Rhinolophus ferrumequinum: one gene and its partners. The protein of the gene in region 1 purifies or fractionates together with the protein of each later gene. This does not show direct contact. Links are inferred from orthologs where the notes say so. Each region holds a gene or a part of one and is shown on either strand. Other genes may lie near its edges. The genes, in order: HECTD1, SMC4 and URGCP.

Region 1 (3,747 bases):
ATTACTGTTCTCCAATAAAAAGTCCTGGAAGTACACACTGTTCCCCACTAAAGTCCTGTTCCCCTTCCCCAATAAAATCTTTAAAAAAAAAAAAAAGAGAAAGAAAGCTATATTCATACTTCCAATTAGTTTCTCCCGAAATATCTCCAATTATGTCCTTTAAGCGGGCATATTTTATTTTCAATGCGTTTGAAAGATGTTTGAAGGGAATAACCACGGACATACTTAGGAACACGAACCGCAGGAGTCAAAAGCACACTCTCAGTGCTGCTGCTTACTGGGAACGCCACTGGGCCTGAATTTATGCTTTTTGGAGCCTCAGTCCTCACATCTGTACAACGGAGATAATTTCGATACTATTTACTTCCCAGGCTTGTGGTGACAGGTTTTCGTTTCCGTGAGCTGCGGCGCAGTTTGCATCCATGGACCGAAGGGAGCCGCTTTTCCTCCCGCGATGCACTTCCTTGCGCGAGGAAGGGTGACCAGTGGGGTGGAGGGGAAGCGCGTGGCGGAGTACAGGTCGCCCGGCTGGAGGCTCGGCAAGGACAACTTGGGCGGCAGCTTCGCCGTGCAGCACGGGGCCTTCAGCAGCAGCGCGTTAAGCGTGTAGACGCCGTGCAATACTAGCAGGGCGTGCGTGCATCAGTGTGCGCGGGCTGCCGGGAGCGCGCTCGCATCGACTGCAAAGCGTAAAAGCGCCGCGGCGTACGGTAGAAAAGCGACAGCTGATAAAGCCGAGGGAATCCGAGGCCCCGGGGGCCCGAGCGCCTTGGCTGTGGCGGCGACGCGTCCTGCCTGTTGGCGCCTCAGCGCCGCTGGCCGACGGGTGTCCGCAGCGCCCCACGTGGCGGCCAGCCGGGTCGCTGCCAGGAGAGCCGATTTGCTCCGCCCCCGCGGAGCTCAGCTGCCCTGCTCAGCATCCCCGCCCAGCTCTCGCCCGACCCTCTCCCTTCCCCCTCTCGGATCGCGATGGACGCGGCCTCCCCCCGCCGCTGCTGGCAGCACCGCGCGGGCCTCTGAGCTGCGGGGCCTGAGGAGCCGCGTGCCGGCGACTGGACTTGAGCTGGCTTTCTCCCATCAGGGAACCTCTCGCTTTTCTGTCACCAGGTCCCCGCGGAGGAAGGGGAGGGACGAGGCGCGGCTTTTCCTGTGCCGCCTGCCCGGCTCGACCTGCGCGGCCTGCGGCTTCCTGGGAACTCGAGGGCCGCGGCCGGGCCTGGCTCTGCCCGCGGCCTGCTTGGAGCTGGACTGGAGTGGTTTGGAACGACAAGCCCGGGTAAGCTTGAGGGAACGGGAGGCGGGAGCTCCTTGGGCGGTCGGAAGGGCCAGGCCTGGGGGGGTCAGGATACGGGATGCCGGGCGACGGGCCGGGAGCGAGAGCTCCCGGACCCTAGTGAGGTCAGGTGGGCTGCTGCCGACTCACCCGCTTAGCCCCTTTGTTTCTCTCCCCTGGCCCTGCCCGCGGCGGGGCCCGGCTTGCGAGAGCCTGAGCCCAAGGCGGCCCCCCCTTGCCCTTCAGAAGGGTTCGCTGCCGGGCCAGGCCGGGGACGACCCGCCGGGCCTCGGGAGTTCAGGGCGCCGCTCCCGGGAGACCCGCTGTCCTGCCCCGCGGCCTCCTCTCGGGCACGGAGGCTTGCTTTTTCTCCTTCAGAACTTCCCCCTTCTCCTAGACACAGGTAGCTAACTTGGCTGGGTTTGGTGCGGGGAAACCGGAGCGCGGTGCCTGCGCCTCCCGGCGCGGGGCTCGGCTGGGCCCGGAGTGTTGGGTCATCCTGCTGGTCGCCGCCGTTGGGTGCCCACTGGTACCCGCCTCTGGATTCAGACACCTGCAGCTGGGTTACGTGGGACCTAAAGCTGTCCTCTTGTCAGGGAGTTTACAAGCTTTGGTAACGACTTGCCTGTTGGGGCTGCTTCTCTGTTTTGTGTATATGGTGTATATTTTTAACCAACTGCTCCATTCTGCGGGGATGGGGAAAGAGGGACATAGCTAGTTCATTGCATTTACTTTTAGCATTTCTTTTTAAACTTTGAAGAACAGTTGCTAAAACTGCCAAAATAATCAACCAAGTCTTTATTCATAGATAGATTTTTCTATCTAATTATCGTTTGTATTTGGAGATCTTAAGAATAGCAGTAAGTAAATTGAGAAGTCAGCAGAATTGTGAAATTAGAGCTAATTTTAATGCAGAAACTTAATTTGGAGGGGGATGGGATCAAACTGCTTAACTCTCCTCAAAATACTGACTCTAACCTTTATCTTAAGATCAGTTTTGGGTGGAGGAGGGGGGAAGAGGTTTGCTGGAAAAAAAAGAACCTTTAGTAAGGTGTTCTTTGCCTTTTGGCACAGACGTTAGTGATAGCAGTAGTGGGATCCGAAGCTTGTTTGACTGTCTTTGACAAAGACAGCTCTGGTTTCCAGTTAAGCAGCAACCTAATCAGCTTATACTCTTGTGCAAAACTGGTTTTTATTTAGTATGATATATGAACGTTAAACCTGAGGAATAAGGGCAGTTGAAAAACTTAGTTAAGCACTATATCTAAACATACTTATGAGTCTTTTCTAATTCCTAGGAGTACATCACGAAAATTTGGTTCTAGCTGATATAAAGGAAAAAATTTTAAACCCAAGCTGATCAGTCCTGGACATTTAAAGGACTTTTTCCCTTTTTTAATTTAAGCAAAGAGGCTTTTAAAAAACCATGGCAGATGTGGATCCGGATACATTACTGGAGTGGCTACAGATGGGACAGGGAGATGAAAGGGACATGCAACTAATAGCCCTTGAACAGCTATGCATGCTGCTTTTGATGTCTGACAACGTGGATCGTTGTTTTGAAACGTAAGTACATCCCTTCTTCATCTTCCTTTGGGGTTGCTGTAATGACATTTGTTTTCAGCCATTTGCTGACTTCAGTTTGTGTAGAATTTTTTCTAGGGAGTTTTACAATTTTTTTTTAACTTTATGCAGTTTTGCATTTACATTTTTCTGAGAAATAAAAATTGGTATGTGAAGTAACTTGAGTAATGATAATTGTCATGACACAAATACATGTTTGTTGAATGAATAGGGTTTAGTAGGGAGTACTATTTTAACCCATACCTTGGTTGATTCATTTTCAAAATATGTCACGAACTGGGAAAATACAAACACTTTCCTTCTTTAAACGTAGCTATTTCTGTACCAAGAAATTGATGTGGAAATATAGATGATAATGAAAATATGTTTACAACTGCCCATTTCTTTGTAGGTATTAAGTAATATGACATCATATGTTTGTTACAACAAATCATTGATTTGTAAATTTCAATTTGGAGGGTATAAATTGGATGTTACCCACATAGTATACTTTTTGGAATAGTAGGAACATTTTGAAGTTTGGAGAGTTTAAACAATTTTATTTAAAGGTTATACTGTAGAATTTGTGCAAAACTGTAAAAGAATTTATTATTAGATTGGCCATTAATGCCACGTTTTTCCTCTTATGTGATACTTGCTGAGTAATCATTCTTCTGAATGCTGAATACATTTGGTTTTTACTGTTTATTTTACATTTTGTATCTACCATTTTAAATTCCAATAATAAGTAAATGAAAACTCACTTGTTTCTATATTTGTTTTAACAACCATTTTGAGATAATTAATAGAAAATATTTGAGGTGTTGACATAAAATTTGGTATAATTATCTTAATTTTTCTGAGGTGGCAATAAAGGCTGTATTACTCACTAAATTGACAAAGTATTTTTA
Region 2 (3,747 bases), on another chromosome or scaffold:
ACCAGTCTCCAAGCTCACGAAATTCTTACACTTGTGAGTGTCCACACCCCTTTTTGAGAATTACTGCACCTGATTTTATGCTCCTCAGAACAAGAGTCACAACACTTAAATAGAATGGCAATATAAATTCATTCATTAAGCAGATTTATTAGTGCTTTAGTATGCCAGGCACTAAGTATGCAAAAATTTAAAAGAAAAAATAAAGGAGGCCCCCATTCTCAATGTCAGAAGAGTTGCTGAATACTTACTGGAGATAGTCAGATCAACCAGTGGTTAACATTGTGGGGGATTAGGACCACGTTCCAGAATCTGATCAAAGTTCTGGGAAAACTAACTCCCCAGAAAAATGAGCGCACATACACACACACACACACACACACACACACATAATTTTGTATATCATTTCGGGGGGGGGGGCGCTATGAACTCCTCTGAAGCCCAATCACCAACCCCTGATCCACAGACTCCAGATAAAAACCCACTGACATAACTAAGTTCTCTGGGAACAACAATATTTGCTTAATAATCCTGATTATGTCTTGCACAGTGCGATGTACACAAAAGCTACTTTAAAAACATTTTCTCATAAAGATAACCAAATGACATCATCAAATCGTTTCTTCCATAACGGGGTCTTTCAATCAAATGATTTCAAAAGCCCGAAAACCCTTTTCTCTAGTGACACTTAAAGATCTAACACCAATAACTCGAAATTATTATTTTGCTAGTAACATGTGGACTACACCATCATTCACCAGTCCAGGTCTTCTCTTCTCCTTGTTGTCCCTCGATTCCCTCCAAACTCTGGGCTCCTCCTTCGCATCCCAAAAGCTACGTACAGAGCCCCACTGCCACCAGGGAGATGGAAAATAATAGATGCTCCCCGCCGCACACACCCTCAAAGAAAGTGGGATCCAGTGATGGCTACAATTTCCAAACCCTTTCTTCACCACATCCGGAGGTGAAGAGATTTACCTTACGTTCCAGAATTGCGGTGGCGATTGCTCTCACAGAGCTGGGGACCAGTTACCAAGCCTCCCGACCTTCCCGTCACCATAGTGACTTCAAAGAGCTACGCTCATTCCCTCTTCCCGCGATACTTTCCCGCCGCGCGTCACCCGAGCGGGCCTGAGACCCCGCCCCTCAGGGAGCCCGCCCTCTCTTTAAGGGGCTTTATTGGACGACTGAGCCCCGCCTCCAGCTTTGGGCGGAACCCTACTCTTATTTTTCTTTTTCAAAACTCTCCAGGTTTTTTTTTCAATATTTTTTATAAGAGTGCTGTTGCCGTAGGCCCCAAGGAACACAGTGTTTTGCTCTTCCTCTTCACGTAGAAGAAACGTCCCATGCCACCTGGGTTCCCCAGGGCCGGAGTTTGCGCATGCGTGTAAGCGACCAGAAGATGGCGGTGATAATCGCCGCACTTTTTTTTTTAAAATTAGTGGTTCCCAGAAACCTTTGCGCGCATTTGTAACGAATTTCCGTTCGAGTTTGTATTTTAGGCGCCATTTTCGAGTGAAGGACCCGGAGCCGAAACACCGGTAGGAACGGGGGGGTCTATACAACCGTTTCCAGCCTTGGTCTGAGTGGACTGACCCGCAGGTAAAGTACATCTTTTCCTAATCAGGTTGTCACACTCTCACTTCCTACCCCGTCCGCGGGTGCCCGGAAAGTAGAGGCCTTGAGCAGGAGCAGCCGAAGTCTGGGCTGAGGCTGTCGCCGGGAGATCTCTCTCGCTGTCACCCCTCCCCCCGCGGCCGCTCCCCGGCAGTTCGGGCTGCCTCGCGCTTCTCCCGGGCGCTACTTCTGTGATCTTCTTAAGCATCGCTCGGGGCGGTGGAGGGGGCTCTAAGCCTCGCGGATCTCAGAAATCCTGGTGTCTGTCGAGGAAAGGGCGTCTCCCCCGGACCCTTTGCCTTCTCTCTTCTCCCGAGGGACCAATCACCGGGTCCTAGCCCTTACTGGTGACCTTTCGTAGTTCATTACCCAACGGGATTCCGCCGCGGGTCCCGGAGAGACACCCCCGATCATCGCTGGCGTCCGATTTGGAAGTCCCGAGGGGTGGACCCCAGCCTCTGGCCGCCCTGCCCAGTGGGACTGTGGAGAGGAGACCTCGAAGCCCCCGAGCCGTCAACGGCGCCAAGAGCTAAATGGCGGGGAGAGGACGGGGCAGCCAGTCGTCCTAAGCTTAGCCTTCTGCTCTAGGAAGAGTTGATAGCCCCGCAAACCTAAAACTAATGCGAACTCCTCTAAGTCTGCGCTTGCATCCCTAGCCCCGAGAACGTGGGAATGTCAGTAAATGCCGGCGTATGGAAATTACTTCGTTCAGAAATTACATTCAGATATTCGTATACACTTAAACTGTGGGCGACGGGGGAGGGGGCATTAAAAAATAAGAACCCAAGTAGTCTGTGGTGGCTTGATTCCCAGGCACGTCTAGGTTTTCCCACTTGCTTGGAACTTGTTTAAGAAAACGAGCCCCGCACCTCTAGCACTTGGGGTTTGGGTGCCTTCTTGCCCAAGGACCCGCTGGCGTTGAGCGGTGTTTTAAAGACAGGCTCTCGGGAACTGGAGAACGGAGTTTTATCCCGAGTGGGGCGGGGTAGAGGCTGAGCCGATCACGTCGCGGGAGCCGGCGGGGAATGTACCCGCGCGGCCCTGCGGCCCGCGGGCTGACTTAACTCCCGGCTCTCACCCGGCCCCAGCGACCATGCCCCGTAAAGGCACCCAGCCTTCCACCGCTCGGCGCAGAGAAGAAGAGCCGCCGCAGTCCCCGGACGGCACCAGCAACGACGCGGAGCCCGAGCCGCCGCCGGGCCGCGCCGGGCCCAGGGCCCCTGCTACTGCAGGTGAGTAGCCGGCCGAGACTGGGCCGGAAAGCGCGCTGGAGGACTCGAGTGGGTCCGTGCCCAACCCGGGACTGGGCCGTGTTATTTGGCGCAGGAGAGAGGGGCTGCGCGTTAGACGTCTGAAGGTCGCGTGTCTGCCCGGTAGATCAGATCAAGAAAGCGATTCGGGGATTTTCAGAGATTAGACTCTTCGTGCAAGTTCGGTGTAACGGTGCTTGAGGGAATGGGGGCGAGTAAATTGCTTCAGTTGTGAATTTCTGTTTGTGGCCTTGTATTTCCGCGGAAATCGGCTCGGTCAGCCAATAGCCAGTGGACTTCTTTTCAGATAGAATCAACATGACTATGTTAATGTGATGAAAAGTTGCTTGACCCTCACCTCACTCCCGTGGTCTTAAATTGCGATTAAAGAGAAGATGATAATGTCCTCGAAACCACCGTAACATTTGTGAGTCCAGTAATTAGATGACCTTACGAAACCCTTCTGACAGTGTCGCTGGAGATCTAGAGTGTCCAAAGTTAAGGTTCCAGATGACCAAAGATACGGAGAGTTGGATAGAGCCTTAGGGATTTAACCACCTGTTTAGGCGGTGAGCAGGGAATCAGGCTGTTGTGGTTTTACCAGATTTGCTTTATAATGTAGTGTTTTGACTCCTAACAGGTATATTTCTATAGAATTTTGAGACTGGTGGCATTTCTTTTAAGAATTTCTTTTTTTATAAAACCAAGATGAAAGATTGTCATCTCCTGTGAGCTTAGGACACTACTATATTTAACTGGAAAATATAGATTCCTACGTTTCATAAGTAACATCTCTCCAGAGATTAGCAGGCACTGGTCCTCAGAACTAATTGCACTAATGCAGGCTTTCCCTCCACCCTTTGCCTTCCCTTTCCTTTCCTTT
Region 3 (3,747 bases), on another chromosome or scaffold:
GCACAGGAGACAGGCAGGCCCCTCCCATCAGACAGCGGTGTCCTGCCTGCTGGCAGTGACCCTTCAGCAGGGTCATGGGGAGATACTACTGCAACACCACGACCTGAGGGGGCTCCACGGACAGAACCGGTGGACTGAGCAGCTAGTGTTTGTACTGGGTTCATGCCTTGCAGGCTCGCCGAGTGGGAGGAAACAGCTCTAAAATGCAGCTTTGACCCTGCAGAAACTTACACCAGAATCAGGCTGTAAAGAGGTTACAAACACTCGTTATACAAAGTCTACACAGCACACACGTGGCAACCTGCAAAGCCAGGTGGCCATCCGTCCCGGCATCGGGTTGCTCCCAGGGCCGGGGGGGACTCACGTCCGGGACGCTTATCTGCAGAAAGTGGCCACGGTTCTCCTGGATTAATCCATATACTTATTTGCAGCTAGAAACTTTTCTAAAAGTTGGGGGCACGTCCGTGAAGAACACAGATATCCCTGCTCTTAGCTTACACTGAACGAGGTGGAGAGACTGGCCAGCAACCAGAAAATTTTAAACAGGGGCTGCACCAGGAGGTGTGAGGTGCTGGGGAAGAAAGAGCAGTAGACTAGGCTCAGGGCACCAGCGTGCGGGGAATGGGGTGGACGGCTGCTGTTGTTCCAAGGGAGGGCAGGGTGGGAGAAGGGACATGCGAGTCCAGGCTTGGCAGGAGGTGAGGACGCGAGCGGGAGCTCCCTGGGCAGTGAGTGGTCCAGGCAGATGTATGGCTGCTGCAGCAATGGTCCGAAGGTGCAGGGGACACACAGGATGCCATTGTGGCGGGTACGGAGTGCACAGCGCACAGCAGTAGGAGAGCTCTAGTCAGAACCAGCTTCCTCAGAACCCCAGGCAATATTCCTGTCTCATGTTGAGAGCAGATGAGAGATGGCAGCACCTGAGGTGACAACACTGGGTTGAACTCTGAAAGTCTCTGTGAAGGATTTCAACAGACTGGATAGAGCGTGTGAAAAAAAGCCCAGGAAACCTCCAAGTGTTCAGGCTCCAGAGAGCTGCTGCTGTCTCTGGTGGGAAAACATGGGGTGAGCAGGCTGGCAGGGACCATGAGTAAGTCAATGCCCACATGCCAGCTGGGCACACAGGGTAGACCTCCGTGGAAATGCTGAGCATGAATCAGGGCTAGAAGGGGCTTGGCGGGGCTCGAGAAGCCAGCCCTCCTCCAGGCACCGCAAAGACCACTGTCAGTGCCTTCCCTAAAGACACTCGTCTACCCACAACAAAGGCAGAATCACCTTGCTATTTACCCATGACAATGGGAAGAAATTATGGTGCCAGGAGACCGTAAAACCCAAGAGACCAACTGGAAAACAACTACAAACAATGAGAGAGTAGTAAGCTGAGGACAAACAGAAATCTTTTTAAAAACTCAACTGCCTTCCTGTATACAAAAATTTAGAAATATGGAAAAGGAAACTCCCATTTCCAGTACCAACAAGAGGAAATTTAGGAATAGATGTAATAAATGTGCAACATCTATATGAAAAGAATCTCTAAATACTAAAGAATATAAAAGACTAAAACAAATGAAAAGGTATATCCTGTTTGGGCAAAGGAAGGCTTAGTATAATTTTTAAAGTCAGTTCTCCCTAAATTAACCTGTAAGTGAATTTTTTGAACTTGTAAGGTTCAACACTAGATAAGCTTATTCTATGGAAAAATATTTGTACAATAAATATCAGGAAAATTCTGAAAAAGAACAGTAACAAAGGAAGACAAAACCTGCCAGTGAGTAAAACATGGTCCAAGCCACAGTTCTGGTTCATGGACAGCCCAGAAAAGGCCAATATAGCTGGGAATTTCATCTCTGATGAAGGTAGCTGAGTATCGTGATTATTCCTTTACAGCAGCCTGGAAAAGTAACAATAATCCCTAGTCCTCCTTTCACCAAAATGAATACCAAATGGATCTGAGTCAAATTAGAAAATGAAACAAACAAACAAACAAAAAATACTGAAAGAAAATATTAAAGACTTTAAAAAAAGAAATCTCAGAGTGGGGAAGGCTTCATACAGTCAAAAGGCACATGACAGATGGAAAAAAAGTGTTTGTGATACAAATGACAAAAGGCTCATTTTCTCAACGTACAAAGATCTATAAATTCAGGAGAAAGGGCCCAGGACATCCCTAAAATGCATTTTGGGCTCTAAACAAAAGGAGGAGGAAGACACCGAACTCCACTGTGCTTTCCACCCTGTGAGACCAGACTAGATAAGGAACAGGGTGCAAGAGTCCCTTTATACCTTTTGAAATGGGTACCCGGTACCTGTGGTACTTCCTTTTTTAAAGTAAGGCAGCTAACAATTTTATAAAAATGCTACAATGTGCAGAATCCACAATAGAACCAGGGCAGCAGAAAGGCCTCCTGACAAGCAGGCGGGTCTGGGAAAGCACGACCTATGGAAGGCCGCTTCTAAGTTATTTCCGTGCCAGCCATGTGTTGTAAAACCATAAGCAAAGGCACAAAGGCTCCAGCGAGCTTCTTACTCCAACAAACCGGGCAGCAGCTTCAAGCGGAGCAGACAGTGCTGGACGACAGTCGCCCCCTATGCTCCTGGTCAGAACAAAATTCAGAATCCAACATTTCTGTTTGTGCCTCAGTAACCACATTTAAACCAACCATCCTTAATGGGGTCGTTTTACATCAAGTTTTAACTTAAAACAACTTAGCTGGGCCTCATTTCCCTATCTGTATAATGGGGATAAAAACAGTGCTTACTGATAGCGTTATTGTGCAGATTAACTTATTCTGCACAAAAGCACTTAGAGCAGGCCCCACAACACACTTCTTGGAAATAGGACTGCCACACAGGAAGAACACGGGATTTGGAGGCCCATCCATGAATAGCCCAGCAGAACCCACGGCTCCCCTCCCATCCTTGCCCTGAATGTCTGCACTTGTCCCCACAGCACCTACCTGGTCCACTAGAATGAGTGTCTGCCAGCCAGCTGACTGAGGCAGGCCACAGGATCGCAGGAAGCCAGGTCTCCCTGGCTGGGCTCTGAACTAGCTGCAAAGCCTACAGAGTAAACACATCTGGACACGTGGGTTGTCCCAATTTATACATACCATAAGAAGTGCATAGTTCTCTCTATAAAGTGAAATCAAGTATACTAAAAATTTTGTGACCTCAGCTCTGCAATCAGCACCCCTCAGAAAATTACAGATTAGTACCAACTGCAGACTCATGGTGTCACTCATAAACGGAACTGCAAATATCAAATCTGCACTAATGCCACTTTCTACAAGGATGCAGTTTAGGTCCTGTTGGCTCACAGAAGGGCACGTCTGCAAAGTGGTGAGCTTGGACGCCAAATGCACCATCACTTTTTAAAGGGCCTCGGTGCAACCACGCACAGGCTCAGCCACCTGACTGCTGCCGGCAGCCCTCCCGCCTCACCCTTTCCTGACAAGATGGGCAGGAATGCAGTGGGACCTTGACCCTCTGGGTGAATCAGCCAGGCCTTCAGAGGGACCGGCCCTCGTTTATTCTATTTATGAACTCAAAGTACTGGGTAAAGACCACTGCTCCCCAAACCTGGAAAGACGGCGGGTAGGAGGAAAACGCCGGGCTTGGTTCGAGTCAGACCCAGCTTGCTCTTGTCTGCACTGAGCCAGGGCAGTGCATGGCCGGCTCCAGCCTCAACAACGCGCCCGCAGGCCCTGCAGCTGTAAGGGGCCGTTGGGAAGTGCAAAGATGTACAAC

What was found.
Region 2: the proteins of HECTD1 (region 1) and SMC4 purify together in Homo sapiens (affinity purification with western blotting; 3 studies listed by BioGRID, with this or other methods). This does not show direct contact. The link is inferred for Rhinolophus ferrumequinum from reciprocal best matches to the Homo sapiens genes HECTD1 and SMC4.
Region 3: the proteins of HECTD1 (region 1) and URGCP purify together in Homo sapiens (affinity purification with mass spectrometry; 4 studies listed by BioGRID and IntAct, with this or other methods). This does not show direct contact. The link is inferred for Rhinolophus ferrumequinum from reciprocal best matches to the Homo sapiens genes HECTD1 and URGCP.

What each region holds. Positions count from the first base shown.
Region 1 is NC_046289.1:80,128,739-80,132,485, reverse strand, and holds the start of HECTD1 (E3 ubiquitin-protein ligase HECTD1), read left to right. Parts: upstream 1-970; 5' UTR 971-1,276; intron 1,277-2,678; 5' UTR 2,679-2,699; coding exon 2,700-2,839; intron 2,840-3,747. UniProt on the Homo sapiens protein: E3 ubiquitin-protein ligase which accepts ubiquitin from an E2 ubiquitin-conjugating enzyme in the form of a thioester and then directly transfers the ubiquitin to targeted substrates.
Region 2 is NC_046285.1:79,424,852-79,428,598, reverse strand, and holds the start of SMC4 (structural maintenance of chromosomes protein 4), read left to right. Parts: upstream 1-1,443; 5' UTR 1,444-1,599; intron 1,600-2,702; 5' UTR 2,703-2,707; coding exon 2,708-2,846; intron 2,847-3,747. UniProt on the Homo sapiens protein: Central component of the condensin complex, a complex required for conversion of interphase chromatin into mitotic-like condense chromosomes.
Region 3 is NC_046303.1:35,225-38,971, forward strand, and holds the start of URGCP (up-regulator of cell proliferation), read right to left. Parts: upstream 2,982-3,747; 5' UTR 2,958-2,981; intron 1-2,957. UniProt on the Homo sapiens protein: May be involved in cell cycle progression through the regulation of cyclin D1 expression. May participate in the development of hepatocellular carcinoma (HCC) by promoting hepatocellular growth and survival.